Linked DNA regions of Drosophila melanogaster. The protein of the gene in region 2 purifies or fractionates together with the protein of the main gene of each other region. This does not show direct contact. Each region holds a gene or a part of one and is shown on either strand. Other genes may lie near its edges.

The links. Proteins that work in one complex are often made in the same cells at the same time.
Region 1: the proteins of insc (region 2) and Galphai purify together in Drosophila melanogaster (affinity purification with western blotting; 2 studies listed by BioGRID, with this or other methods). This does not show direct contact.

Annotation. Positions count from the first base shown.
Region 1 is NT_037436.4:6,973,999-6,981,585, forward strand, and holds the start of Galphai (G protein alpha subunit i), read right to left. Parts: upstream 6,047-7,587; 5' UTR 5,641-6,046; coding exon 5,520-5,640; intron 5,225-5,519; exon of another isoform or gene 3,649-5,224; intron 3,482-3,648; exon of another isoform or gene 3,171-3,481; intron 3,009-3,170; exon of another isoform or gene 2,324-3,008; intron 476-2,323; coding exon 4-475; intron 1-3. UniProt on the Drosophila melanogaster protein: Guanine nucleotide-binding proteins (G proteins) are involved as modulators or transducers in various transmembrane signaling systems.
Region 2 is NT_033778.4:20,832,983-20,837,947, forward strand, and holds the start of insc (inscuteable), read right to left. Parts: upstream 3,047-4,965; 5' UTR 2,688-3,046; intron 1-2,687.

The DNA.
Region 1 (7,587 bases), on a different chromosome or scaffold from region 2:
CACTTGAAGTGCAGCTGCTTGCAGGAGAAGTGTGTCTCGATGATGCCAGTGGTCTTCACCCGCGTGCGTAGCACATCCTGCTGCGTGGGTATGTAGTTCGGTTGCGCGATCCTATCCAGCGAATTTAGATAGTATCCCGCCGAGTCATTCAACTGATATTCGCGCGATCGGGCGAAGCTCTGCTGTACGCCACCGTCTGCCCAGAGTTTCTTCATCAGGAGCACGATCTCGGGCAGCAGGATGCCCTCGTCGGCGGCAGAGGCGTGTGTGAAGAACTGGCGGGCAATGTCCGTTCGGCTCGGATCGGCAAACTCGATCTTCAGGCGTCCCATTGCGCGGATGATCACCATTAGACTCTGCACCGTGTTGCTGAAGACGACGCGACGATACTCCTCGCATTCCTCCTGCGAGTAGCCCGTGTCATGGATGATCTTCATCTGTTTCACAATCGTTGACTTGCCCGACTCTCCGGCTCCTACAAAAGAAATTCAACAGAGTTTATTAGTTAAGGTGTACTATCAAAGTTTATAAAGAATCATTCCAAGGAAGTGTGAGCTCAATATTTGTATGCACCAAGTTCAGGGCGTAAAACTGAATGAATGAATCGATGAGTTCGGTTTCGGGAAGGGGCTTTTAAGTTTGCCAAGGGGAACGGAAGTGGAATTTATGAATGAGACGATCGAGAAAAGTTGCTCAATTGCGCGACTCAAGAGGTCACGCTTAATTGCGCTGGTCTAGTTGAGAAATGAATGAACATCGTGTATATGGTCATTTAATATAGCATGTCGGATTTCAATACGAATCAAATGAACACCAAATAAGGGTCAATAATATTGTGATAACAGATCAAGTTATATGCACATCATCATGCTAAAGATAATCCAAATAGATATATGCATTTTCTAAGCGTACTACTCTGTAATTTATTATAATTTATTAACTTGCATGGCCGAGCCCTGGAGTTCGTTGAACCACCCACCCATTAGTTATCAAAGGCGTTGGAAATTGCGGAGAAAATTAACTGGGCATAATTTTATTCGCCGAGTGCCTTCAATTGTTAAATGAGACCTGACCCGTCAGCGTTGATAAACAACAAACACACGGGCTCGTCTGGGCAGTTTATTATATATGTAGTACTATGTATATTATCTGCTGCGTCGAATGATAAAAAAAAAAATATGAAACATAATCGCATTACGTGCTCGCCAGTTTCCCTTTTCGCTGAAAACTAAAGAAGTTGAAATCGCAGAGCAAATGGGCAAATACAAAAATTGGCAAATCTGCCGGTCCAAGTAATTTCGAATATCTATAGCTATATATAAACATATATACACGATGTTGGGGCATTGCAACAATGGCGCATTAAGCCGACTTTTTGCTGCAGTTGGTAGTTGGGTCCATTCCCAGCCACCGGATGATTAGGTAATTGCCAAAGCCAAAACTGCGACTTTACTTTCACTTTTCTCAACTTTCAGGGCTTCGATACTTGCACTGAAACTTTAATTGTTTTTACTATTCGTACGTATATCAATCAGCCATGGTTGAAGTTCCCTTGGGGCGGATGGTGCTCATTCAATGAAGATTGGTAAGTTTAATACATATGTTACGTACATTTATGAAGATTAAGAAATTCAGCCTATAGTTTTAGGTACCATAATGTGTTAGAATAGGGTCCACTCTAATTGTAATGTGCTGGCCACTGTTACACCTACTGTTAATATATATTACACTAAATGGCCACTGTTACATTCACTGTCAATATATATTACATTAAATTTGTTTTATAAATTTTTTTGAGTTATTGTTAAGACTTCAATTTTAACCAATTCCGAACAATGCTAACTAATTTTGCCACCAAAAAGTGTTGGAGCGAAAGAGACGCCTGCTGAATGCTGATAATGGGCAAACAACGGTCGCCGCATAATGATGAAATTGACAGATTTGAATACGAATATGGACATAAGGCGATGTTCAAACTTGCCACCGTGTGGAAAAAAGTAGCGAACAAAGCAATCCACAAATGAGCGGCTGGAAAAAGGTCAATTTAATAATAACACTACTAACAAAATGCGAAAGAGTGTGTGCGTGTGTGTTGGTGTGGCTGGGCCTTCATTTATCAATGCACCGTTAGCTGTGCCATAACACGCGCCCGGCCGACTGCGGGTGCGAGCGAGAGGCCAACAATAGGGCTGGAGCGAGACGGGCTCAGAACAACGGCGATACGCACAAAGCCGCGTTTACAAGCTCATTATCATCGCGATGGCCACAACCAAACGGTATTATAATTAACATCATTAAACAGTGAATATCGGCGAAAAAAGAATCGGCGGGGAATGCAGGAATTCTAGCTTCTATTGATATATTTTATAGTTGTTAGAAGTTGCTAAAAAAACTTTTTATTATATTTATTAGAATTTGAAATTGTAAACAACATTCAAATATTTGTTCAATTTGTCATAAATGATTAAAAAATCACTATTTAGCTAGATAGGAAATTTAAGGAAGACATGCAGTTTTTACTGCACCAACCAATTCGTTAGATAATTACTTATCGAAATTAGAATATTCATTGGAAACAGGGTGACTAAGGCTACGCCATGCGATGATTTAAAAAAGAGGGGAGAAGAAAGAACAATAGCTGTAGACAGCAAGAGGAGGAGAATCGTAAGAAAGTGTTTGCGCCATGAGTAATCAAGTTAAATGGCGCCTGGCCTCAGTTATCGAAGTGGGAAATGTGTTAATCAGCGGGGAGTGTGAAATTGAGCGGACCCACCGAAAAAGTAAACAATTAAATCAGATGAAATGCGGCCCCAAAACGGAAGCCCCCCACCTAGTAGTGACTTTCACGCAGATCTCTCGATTATCATGAAATTTCCTATATGTGATGTACATACATATGTACATCAATTATTTAACCACATATAGTATATTGACGTACATATGTATAAGGTCGCTCGCTTGGCGATAATTTTGATAAGCCCAATGATACTTTCAGTTTAAATGTGTTGGTAAGCGAGTTCTTAAATAATTGTAGATTATTAAGTTGCTGTGTGTTGACAGTCTGAGTGCCGATTTTGATATTGGTGCGCCAGCAGCATGACACTATTTTGTTTATATATTATTTTCTTCCCATTTTTTTCATATTTTTTTTTTTTTTTTTTTTTTTACAGATATCCGAGTTCTTACTCATGCCCCCCCCATTGGAATTCGTTTTCTCTCTTCGGTTTGCTGCTCTTTCCTTGCAAATATCATCAAAATAATGCAGTAATTCACTATCTTTGCCCTTAAGCACAATATGTTTGGTTGAAAAACGGTTGAAAAAGTTGTGCTTTTCAATTGAAAGGCTTGCGGAAAGGGGGGGGGGTAAGGAAAAGGGGAGAGGCAGCAGAGTGTAATATAAATTGAGTGTCAGCTGAGCAGCTTTATTAAATCTACTCAATAAGCGCAGCGTTGGGGGCTGCCAATTCCGATTCCAATTCAAGTAAGTAGTCGCTGTACACTGGTAGAAATTACCAATAAATTCAATGAATAATATATATATTTATACTAAATTATAAGCAATGTCTTTACTGCATAATTTGAAAACTATATTTTTTAAAGATATTTTTTTTAGCAAACTAGTACATTCTTCTTTTTCTTTCCGTGTAGCCGCGACAGTTGCATTTGATGGCGGGCCCATTTATTTGCGCTAATATCGTTCACCCCACTTGAAATGTCAGCGAACAAACAACGAAGCAGCAACAAAAACAGCCAATTACTCAGCTGGAAGTCGGAGGAAAGCTGCAGCAGCTCGGAGATCGGAGATCAGAGATCGGTTTTCATCATGATCCAGAAATTACAGAACACACGCCCCACAAGGTGCAAACAATTGAATCAAGTGTAAAATGTTGGGCTAAATTTCAAAATGCAACTGGTGCAAGCTGTTTTCTTGGCTATGTAAACCAGAAGCATTTACACTGGTCAACCGGGGGTTTGGACGAAAACAGCTGGGATACTGAATGATAATAGGGGATATCTTTTAATGGGGATGAAAATGGTAGAATTTTCCTGCACCTTTTAGCGGGCATTTTCCAAACCGGTTTACGAGGTTTTTCATTGAGGCAAACAGTTTTCCTTATTATCTTTAAGCCTGCAAATACAGTGGTTACTCACAAACAAATATAGTGCAAGGTGCGGTGGCTGCTGATAAGCTCGATAAATGTTTTACAGTGTAAATGAAAACTACACTATGTTCTAGGTTCCAAAAAAATCATTTACTAATGTGCATCATTTTTTTTTTTAGAAAAATCCTTTTGAAATGATAACATTTGACATTATGAATTAATTTAGTACAGTAAACCCTATATATCAGTTCACTTAATAAAGGTGTAGGTTGCATAGCCAGTCTTTGCTGTACTTTCCAGCCTACCACTCGTTGCCTTAGTCATCTTGGCCCGATTCATTGGCCAATCAGCCGCGCTGGAGGAAAACTTCCACGGCATTGTTTTTCGCAAATGAATGGCAATGAAATGAAAAGTACACACGCAGACGGTGAAATATATCATCGTTCCCATATGCCGTGCATATAAATCGGCGAGTGGAAATTTAATTGCAGAAGGTTGCAACGCAGCGAGGCATTCAGTTTCACTGCATTTGCCGCAGAGGTCGGGTCACCAAAAACCATACATACATCATATATGTATGTATGTATGTATGCATGTATGTTTGTATATGCGATACGATGGCGCCTCGTCGCTTGAATGGTTTTTCCTGCAAAGTGGAAACCGCTGCGCTATCAACAAACATGTTTCCATTGCGGCAATGGGATCCGATTCGATCCACTTGTTGCATCGATCCAAAAGATCTGAAAAGTGCGTGCCAGCAGATGAGAAACGAGCACTGAGTACCGAGAATCTAGAATCGAGTGTATCCGCACAGTCAAACCGACATTTGGTTTCAATTTACGTTCAATTCCCTTATCGCCAACGAATTATTGGACACAGACATTGCATAATGCACGATCTACGAACAGACGGATTTGTTTAGCCCCAAGCAGCCACATAAACATTGGTTTTCCCAGATAAACAGAGCTGCATGGAGTCTACTTACTCCATTCCATGCATATTTATAGTCGAAATATGGGATAGTTGGGGACTTTAGACTTTTATGTTAAACTGTTAGCTAGAATAACATGGTCTTATAATAACGAGTGATCTTAAAAACAAATAAATTACATTTTTCTAATTTTAGTCTTACTAATTCGTTATACTGTAACTCTACTGTATTGTTTCATCCCATGCCTTCCAGCCTTTTCCAGACCCTTTCGCACTGGAAAAGCCGGCAAAAATCCTTGCCCCAACTCACCACAGCCGAAAGCGCAAAGCAACGGCACCCAGCGGATACCCACCCCGCCCAAGCAAAGCGAGCGAATGGAAAAAAAAATGAGGTCACAACGCGAATTTCAGCAAAGAATTCGCAAAGGGGGGAAATACCGGAATAATGCTAGAGAGGTGAAAAGGTGAAATGGAAGGCGAACGCACCCAGCAGCAGCAGTTTCACCTCCGAGGCGGCCCGCTCGCCCTCCGCCCGCAGGGCGCGATCGATGTTCTTCGACCGCTCGATGGCCTCCTTATCGCGTGCTGTACTCACGGCACAACCCATCTTCGAAATATGTCTTTAGCGATTTGTTGCTCCTTTCTCACTTCGCGCACTCTTCTCACACGCGATTTTTCCAACAATTTCGAGATGCGTCTGCGCGTCGTCGGCTGTACACTTTTTTTCTTTTCGTTTTTTGTGTGCGTTTCCACCTCTCTTCCTTTTCACACAAACACACCACACATGCGCAGCGCACGCAAGCACACACACACAAACACACGCACACACACTGGCTTGAAACGTTTTTGGGTTTTTTTTGGAGATTAGCCCGATTGCATTGCTGTTTTCACGCTTCTTGCTGCAGCGGCAGAGCCGATTTAATATTCTTTTGTCGCTTTAATTTGCTTATCCGCTGATTTTGCTGTGCGCAATATGATTCACTTCGCGTCGGATTGGTGTGACTGTTTGCCGAAGTTCACAGATCGCTTGCTCACTGGCGTTAGTGCATTGCACACGATCGTTTGTGTGGCAACGCTGCCGGGTGTGGTACTCTGCTAGCTGCAGTCTGGCAGTACTCGCGGGGTGTGTGACTTGGCTAGCATCTTCTTGTAGGCAACTGTGACGTCACTTTTGGGCGGTAAATTTCAAATTAATTTAATTGATATACACGCATTTTAATTATCGCAACTTTGTAAACTTTATGCTTGAATGCCACTCATATGATCCTGTTTCCGCTGTTCAGTCGTGAGCCATACATGCATTATGCCCAACTTGCCCTTTGCATTTCAGTTTGTTGTTATAGCGCTTTAAGTGTAAATAAACATAGCCGAAAATATGATGTTGTTCTGAAATGCATGCCCCGCCACTCCCCCCTCATCAACACCAATGCAATGTGCACGCAGGCCGTTGGAGAAAAAGTTCTCAGGGCCCTGGCATAAATAATATTTGCCTTTATTTTGGGACAATTCCATTCCATTCTCGATTTGAATCCCAAATGTCTGCAGTTGCATGCGACGCAGGTACAGTGGAGCTCCTTTCTAACAAACTGACAATATTTAGAATCATTTAAAGTCAATTCGAAGAACAGAACTTTTTAAAAAATAACATAAATACGTCAATTCTTAAATAACAAAACATATGAGAACTAAAGAAATTACTTTCGTTTGCACTGTTAATCTTTTTATTTAAACTGAGCTTATATTTTATTGAGCTTATATTTTTAGTAATATTTAATTTCATTTTTTTTAAACTTATTTTTAGAGAATCATGCATATGCAATGATCATATAATTAATAATAACTTTATTAATGCAATAATATTAATATTTCAAAATTTCATTAGCATAATTCCACTTATAGAAGCTCCTCTGTTTTTTTCCAAATCGATGATATTAAAAGAAACTATTTTGTGAATTTTGTGGTATGGAACGTGACGGGGGGGGGGGGGGGGGGCTGGTCTTTCCGCAGCTAATTTATCTAAACAAAGCGATGCGAAGGCAGGAAGACGAGGATGCGGATAAAGATGAGAATGAGAATGAGGATGAGGATGGGGTCGCAGTGCAAAAGTTTTGCCGCCGCCGGAGGACGTCACATGTGGCCACCATCCCCCTCCCCTCCTCAAGAAACACCCCCACCCCCCTACATCCACCACCCCTCCTCTTGCTCTACCATGAATATAAAGGCCATCAACGGGTCATGATTTACACATGTTTACACGAAAAGTGCGGCATTTGCAGAGGGGCGTAGGAGTGGCGGGGAGAGGGACGGTGAGGAATTAGGGGGCATGCGGGGGTATCTGCTGTCTTGTGAATGAATGATCATTTGTGCGCTACCGAACACCCTGCAACCTCTGTAATTTATCGTAAAAAGCACAAGCTAGAGAAATATGGATTTATGCGGTTTTCGCTGCGCGTGCGAGCGAGAGAGAAATACAGTGATGCTGCACTGTGGGTGGTCGCTCTCATTCCATCTCTGTCGCACTTACTGCCTGCAAATGCGGCGCACGCTGCCACAT
Region 2 (4,965 bases):
TTTCAGGACCCTCTGCCCTTGACCACTGAATTTTTCTGTGGTTCGTTTGTCTCATTACCACCTCCCCCTGCCACGGCACGCCGTTTAAATTGATTGAAAAACAGCCCCTCAATCGATATTTATATCTACATGGGCCAGTCATGAGTAATTCTGCTCATTAGTAGGCAAAGGCAAAGTAATGTAAAAAATGTTTAGCTAACAATCCGGTTTCCACGAGGAGAAATAGCTGAGCTGAGATGCGATGAGTTAATGAGGCTCACAAAGTCACAAATTGCACTTAATTGGGTGTGTTGCATAGTGTAGAAATTGATGTATTGTACATTAAATTCGTGACTAAGAAAATAAGACAATTTTCGAAGTTCGTTGTACTTTTGCCGGCTAATTAGGCACAAAAGGCAGTCGAAATTCATATGCAAATGCCTAATAGAGTTGTCGCCAAACAAGTTTGCGACCAAATAGAATTCTAAAGTCTGCGACAATCTGCCAATTAATTTAAAAATAGAGACAAAATAATTTATGCACTTCAATCTGCGAAAACAGAAAGAAATCAACGGAACTCTTTGCCATATCGCATGAAGATATGATAATGGTTCGTTATCGAAAGCATTTCATAATAAACAAATCAAGAAAAAAAAAAACAGAAAAAAAGCGAGGGAAGCGTGTTGAATAACAAATTTAAGTTCTGGTCAGTTTAAAAGGTACGAATAATGGGAATTGCATCGCAAAATTCAACTGAGAACGGCCAGCGAAAATACAGAAATTACACAGAAAATGTTAATCATGATAATTAAGTTAATATGCGGGGTGGTTAAGTGTTAACTGAACTTGGCTCATTGGGGTCAGCCGCACAAATTGGACACAAGGTGAAATGGGGGAAAGTTGAATGGGGTGGATGGGGTAAATTTCCCCGCTCGTAACCCCGATTAATTAACCAAAAGTTACGGCCCAACCAGATCAAAATCGATTGGACAAAGGCCAGAGCATTGATTAATCCGGCATCCAGCATAATTATTTTAATAGTTTTGACATTTAAACGACAAATTAAAATGGAATAAATGCAAAATAAGAGTAATAAATTTTAATTGCTTGCCACGCCCCTTCCGCGCATCACTTGCGCCCACTGGCAGCTGTTGCATTGATTATAATGAAATTATTATTTATTTATATCGCATCTTTGCGCCATTGCATAATTAATTGTTGTCGTTCGAGTGGCAAACAATTAAATAATAAATCAGTTTTAAACAATCATTTAATTATGTAAAAAACTGAATGAACGCATTAAAACCGTGCAATTATTCAAGTCGCGGCAGCCATAATCCGTTCAATAGAATCGACCATTGTTGCAAAATGTCAAACTGACACATGAGTGAGCAAAAAACAAAGAGTTGCAAATGGTTTAGCAAATGCAATCGACGAAATGTTCCATTTCGCGACATTCCCTGACATTTAACCGACCTGTTCGATGGAAAATCAATAAACTAAGCCAAATTAAACGTTAATCCCACTCAAATGGACAATCATCATTGCTTTGGCATTTCCCATCTAACGGTAGCAACATATCGAACTGGCATTATATACCACTGCTGCTACCGTCGACACCAATTGTCAATGATATCGATCTCTTGGCCGCAACAGGTGAGTGACTTCCAGTGCCGACTGGTTTCCACGTCCAGACGTCCAGGTAATAACACCTCTCCTGATGACCGCCGTAATGGCCGGTGTTTAGCACTCTAATGGAGCCATCGAGACCGCAGAAACGCTCTTAAACTGGAACTAGATCAGTGAGATTATGCGGTGCTCCCTTGATTATTGCAATTAGGCGCGGGCAAACTGAAATTAGGGAAATCTGCGAAACACCACAATGCGGTGAGATTGAAATCGTGCCACTGATATATTCTGAGGTTTCCAGATGAGTCGAGATAACAAGTATTCGAGGTGGCGAAAGCCAACTTCTTCAAATGCATAAGCTGATTAAAATGTAAGAGACCAACCAAAACATTCAAAGAAACTTAAAAATCTTCTTTTAGAAATGTTTTTTATTTCAAGCTACATAACTGGATATTTTTGAGGACTGACTGGAATGTTATTCAATGTAACCCATTCACAACTGCCTTAGAGGTGACTCTTTCCTAGCCAGCAGACTATCACATCTGTGTGCACACATTTCTTTACCCAACCCAATTAGCGTTATCCAATGCTGGGGGCTTAGTCACCAGCACCCCCAGCTCATTCATTCCCCATCAACCTGATCAGTCACCTTAGCCCACTGCCTCCCCCAATTATACGATACATACGTATCTCAGGCAGTTATGTATCCACTCCGGTATCCCCAAGCGCACGGATGACTCATTTGTGGGATCTACGTTATAAAGAACATTCGGAGAAAAGCGAACGAAATCAGTTTGCGGTCTGACGACTTTGACTTTGTGAGGCTCCTGAGTCATAAAACGCGGCTTAGCGAGGTCCTCGAATGAGCAAAAATAAAAACCATCGGAATTTACTTCAATAAATGGGCGGAGGTACATAAATATATACATATGTCTGTAGTTTGTGATTATGTGAATTAAGGCATGTGTAATTACGAGGGGCGTATGCGGAATCGTATTGAATATTTGTGTTTATTGTTAAGCTTATTGGGGTCAAAGCATTCCGAATGTGCTTTACGGTTTATTGTGGCCAAAACTTACCGCTTTCCTGTATAAACAATGCCGAGGTAATCCCAAGTTTGGCTTATGCTTTTGTTGTTGTTTCGGCCGCCACTGATGGATAGTAAAATGTGTATTTCAAGCACGTGTCATTTGATTACTTTTGGGCACCACAAAACTTGACAGTGCGTATGTGTAGTGGGTGGCTGGGTGGTGGGGGTGCTGCACCCACAAGACAAAGCGTAAATAGTTTAACACTGCACAACGGTAAACACAAGTCGACACGACACTCAACGAACGTGGTTAACCCGAACGATACGAAAACAATGATCGAACACAAATATCTCGCGACGATCGCAGCGGTTGCGTCTGCGTGCTTCGACTGCTGGGAATCGAATGAGCGGCTACAGTTGGCGACTTCGACTCAGACTTCTAATTCCCGGGGTGGGAGAGCAGTAAGCCGGAGAGTCGGAGTCAAATTACCTGGGTGAGTAAGGTAGGCAGTGCTGGCAGCTTGACTACTTTCTAGCTAAGGATATCTAATACAATGTTTTAATTGAGTGCATACTTTGAATTATGTGTCTTAAGGTACTGAAAATTAAAGTATTATTAGCTGCTATTATCAGTATCAAGTTTTTATAGGTGATCATAAATCAAATTGAGCATATATCAGCATTTCTAGCTCCTTTAATTGTGAATCTGGCTAACTTTTAGCTACACGGGGTGTGTTATCAACATGGTGCGCTCTCACCTTTCTCTCTTTCGCTCTCCCTATTTGTTTAATAATAACGGGCATAATGAAGAGCATTGTTCGCTTTGTCGCGTTCGTTGTTGTAGTAGTTGGTGGTGGTTTATGCGCTTTTGTTGCTATTTCTTATCACTCACTCCTGTCTTCCCTCTCGCTCTTCTGCGCCAGCTGTTCCGGTAGCATTTTCAAAGGTGCGATCTCTCGCTATCTCTTTCATCTGCTACGCATGCGCAGCTGCCTGAGATTTTGGATTTTTGATTAGGTTCGCTTGTTATTGTTACTGCGATTTTGTGCGAATTTTGGGCGCAATTTTAAGGCAGTTATCTTTTCGTTTAGACTATTTCAACCCTTTGGTATTTCCGTTTCGAAATTTGTTTGATGACTTGCGCAAGTTTGAACACTTCTGGGTGATAAGATTACCCGAAACTTTTAAATGCCCTGTAAATAAAGCCCATTCATTCATGAACGCTCGTGGCCATAAAACGAAAATGTGCCACAAATACACAGTGTTACACTAAAAATTATGAGCAATCGACAGCAATTAGGCAATTGAACAATTTTGCACCAATTATTACAGCCATAAGAGTTCGATCGCCCACCCGTTCGTCGGTGAAAATAATTAAGAGGAGCCCACGATGTGTTTGCTCTTTTCACTATTGCCAATTTGAGATAGTTTCCAAATTGCGAAACTAACTGAAACAATAAGCAAAAGCACAGAGCCAAGTAAGCAAATTAAATCCACAAACAACTAATGAACAAAGTGCACTGAAACTAACAAATGAAAACAATGTTTCGCTTATGAAGGATCGAAATTCATAGAATAAAACCAATATTCAATACTGTATCTCGTTTAACATCTGTTTGCTATTGACACCTTTCAAGAAATTTTAACAACGCGTAGCAATAAAAAAAAAAAATGACAATAAATGCCATTTTCAAATGGCTATACAAATAAATCGTGTCCAAACCGAGAGTTTTAAATCATTAACACAATGTAAACTAAATAGACAATCTGATTTGACTAATAATGGTTTGGGCCGAAAACTTTGAAAAGCACAATCAATTGTCATTTATTGACATTTGTTTATTTTATTTGCTTGCTGACAGTTATGCCTAACTTTTTGTTTATATGAAATGCCATGGCATTGACCCCCAAACTTTTCAGTGTGGAGCCTCACAAAATGAGACAGTTCTGGGGAGCTAGAGGAGTTGGAGTTCAGAGTGCACACGAATGGAATTTCGCCCCATTCGTTGTCAATGTAATTTGTCAGTTCAAAGACCCCGTGCAGCACGAGGACTCCGATTCCAACTACAACTAGTTGTCGTGCCATCCAGCCAGGATGCAAAAGGACCCCGGATCCTACGTGCAAGATGTTTACATCGCGGCGTCGCCCTGACAAATGTGCCAAGTGTGCGGACGTGCGCCCAGGTCCCAGTTCCCAGTACCCAGTACCCAGTTTTCCAGCTCCCAGTTACCAGATCCCAGCTCCTAGCTCCTAGAGCCCAAAAACGCAGATCCCCGAGTCGAGTGCAGCTAAAAAAAATGTAATCAATGTATTTTTGTCACGTTAA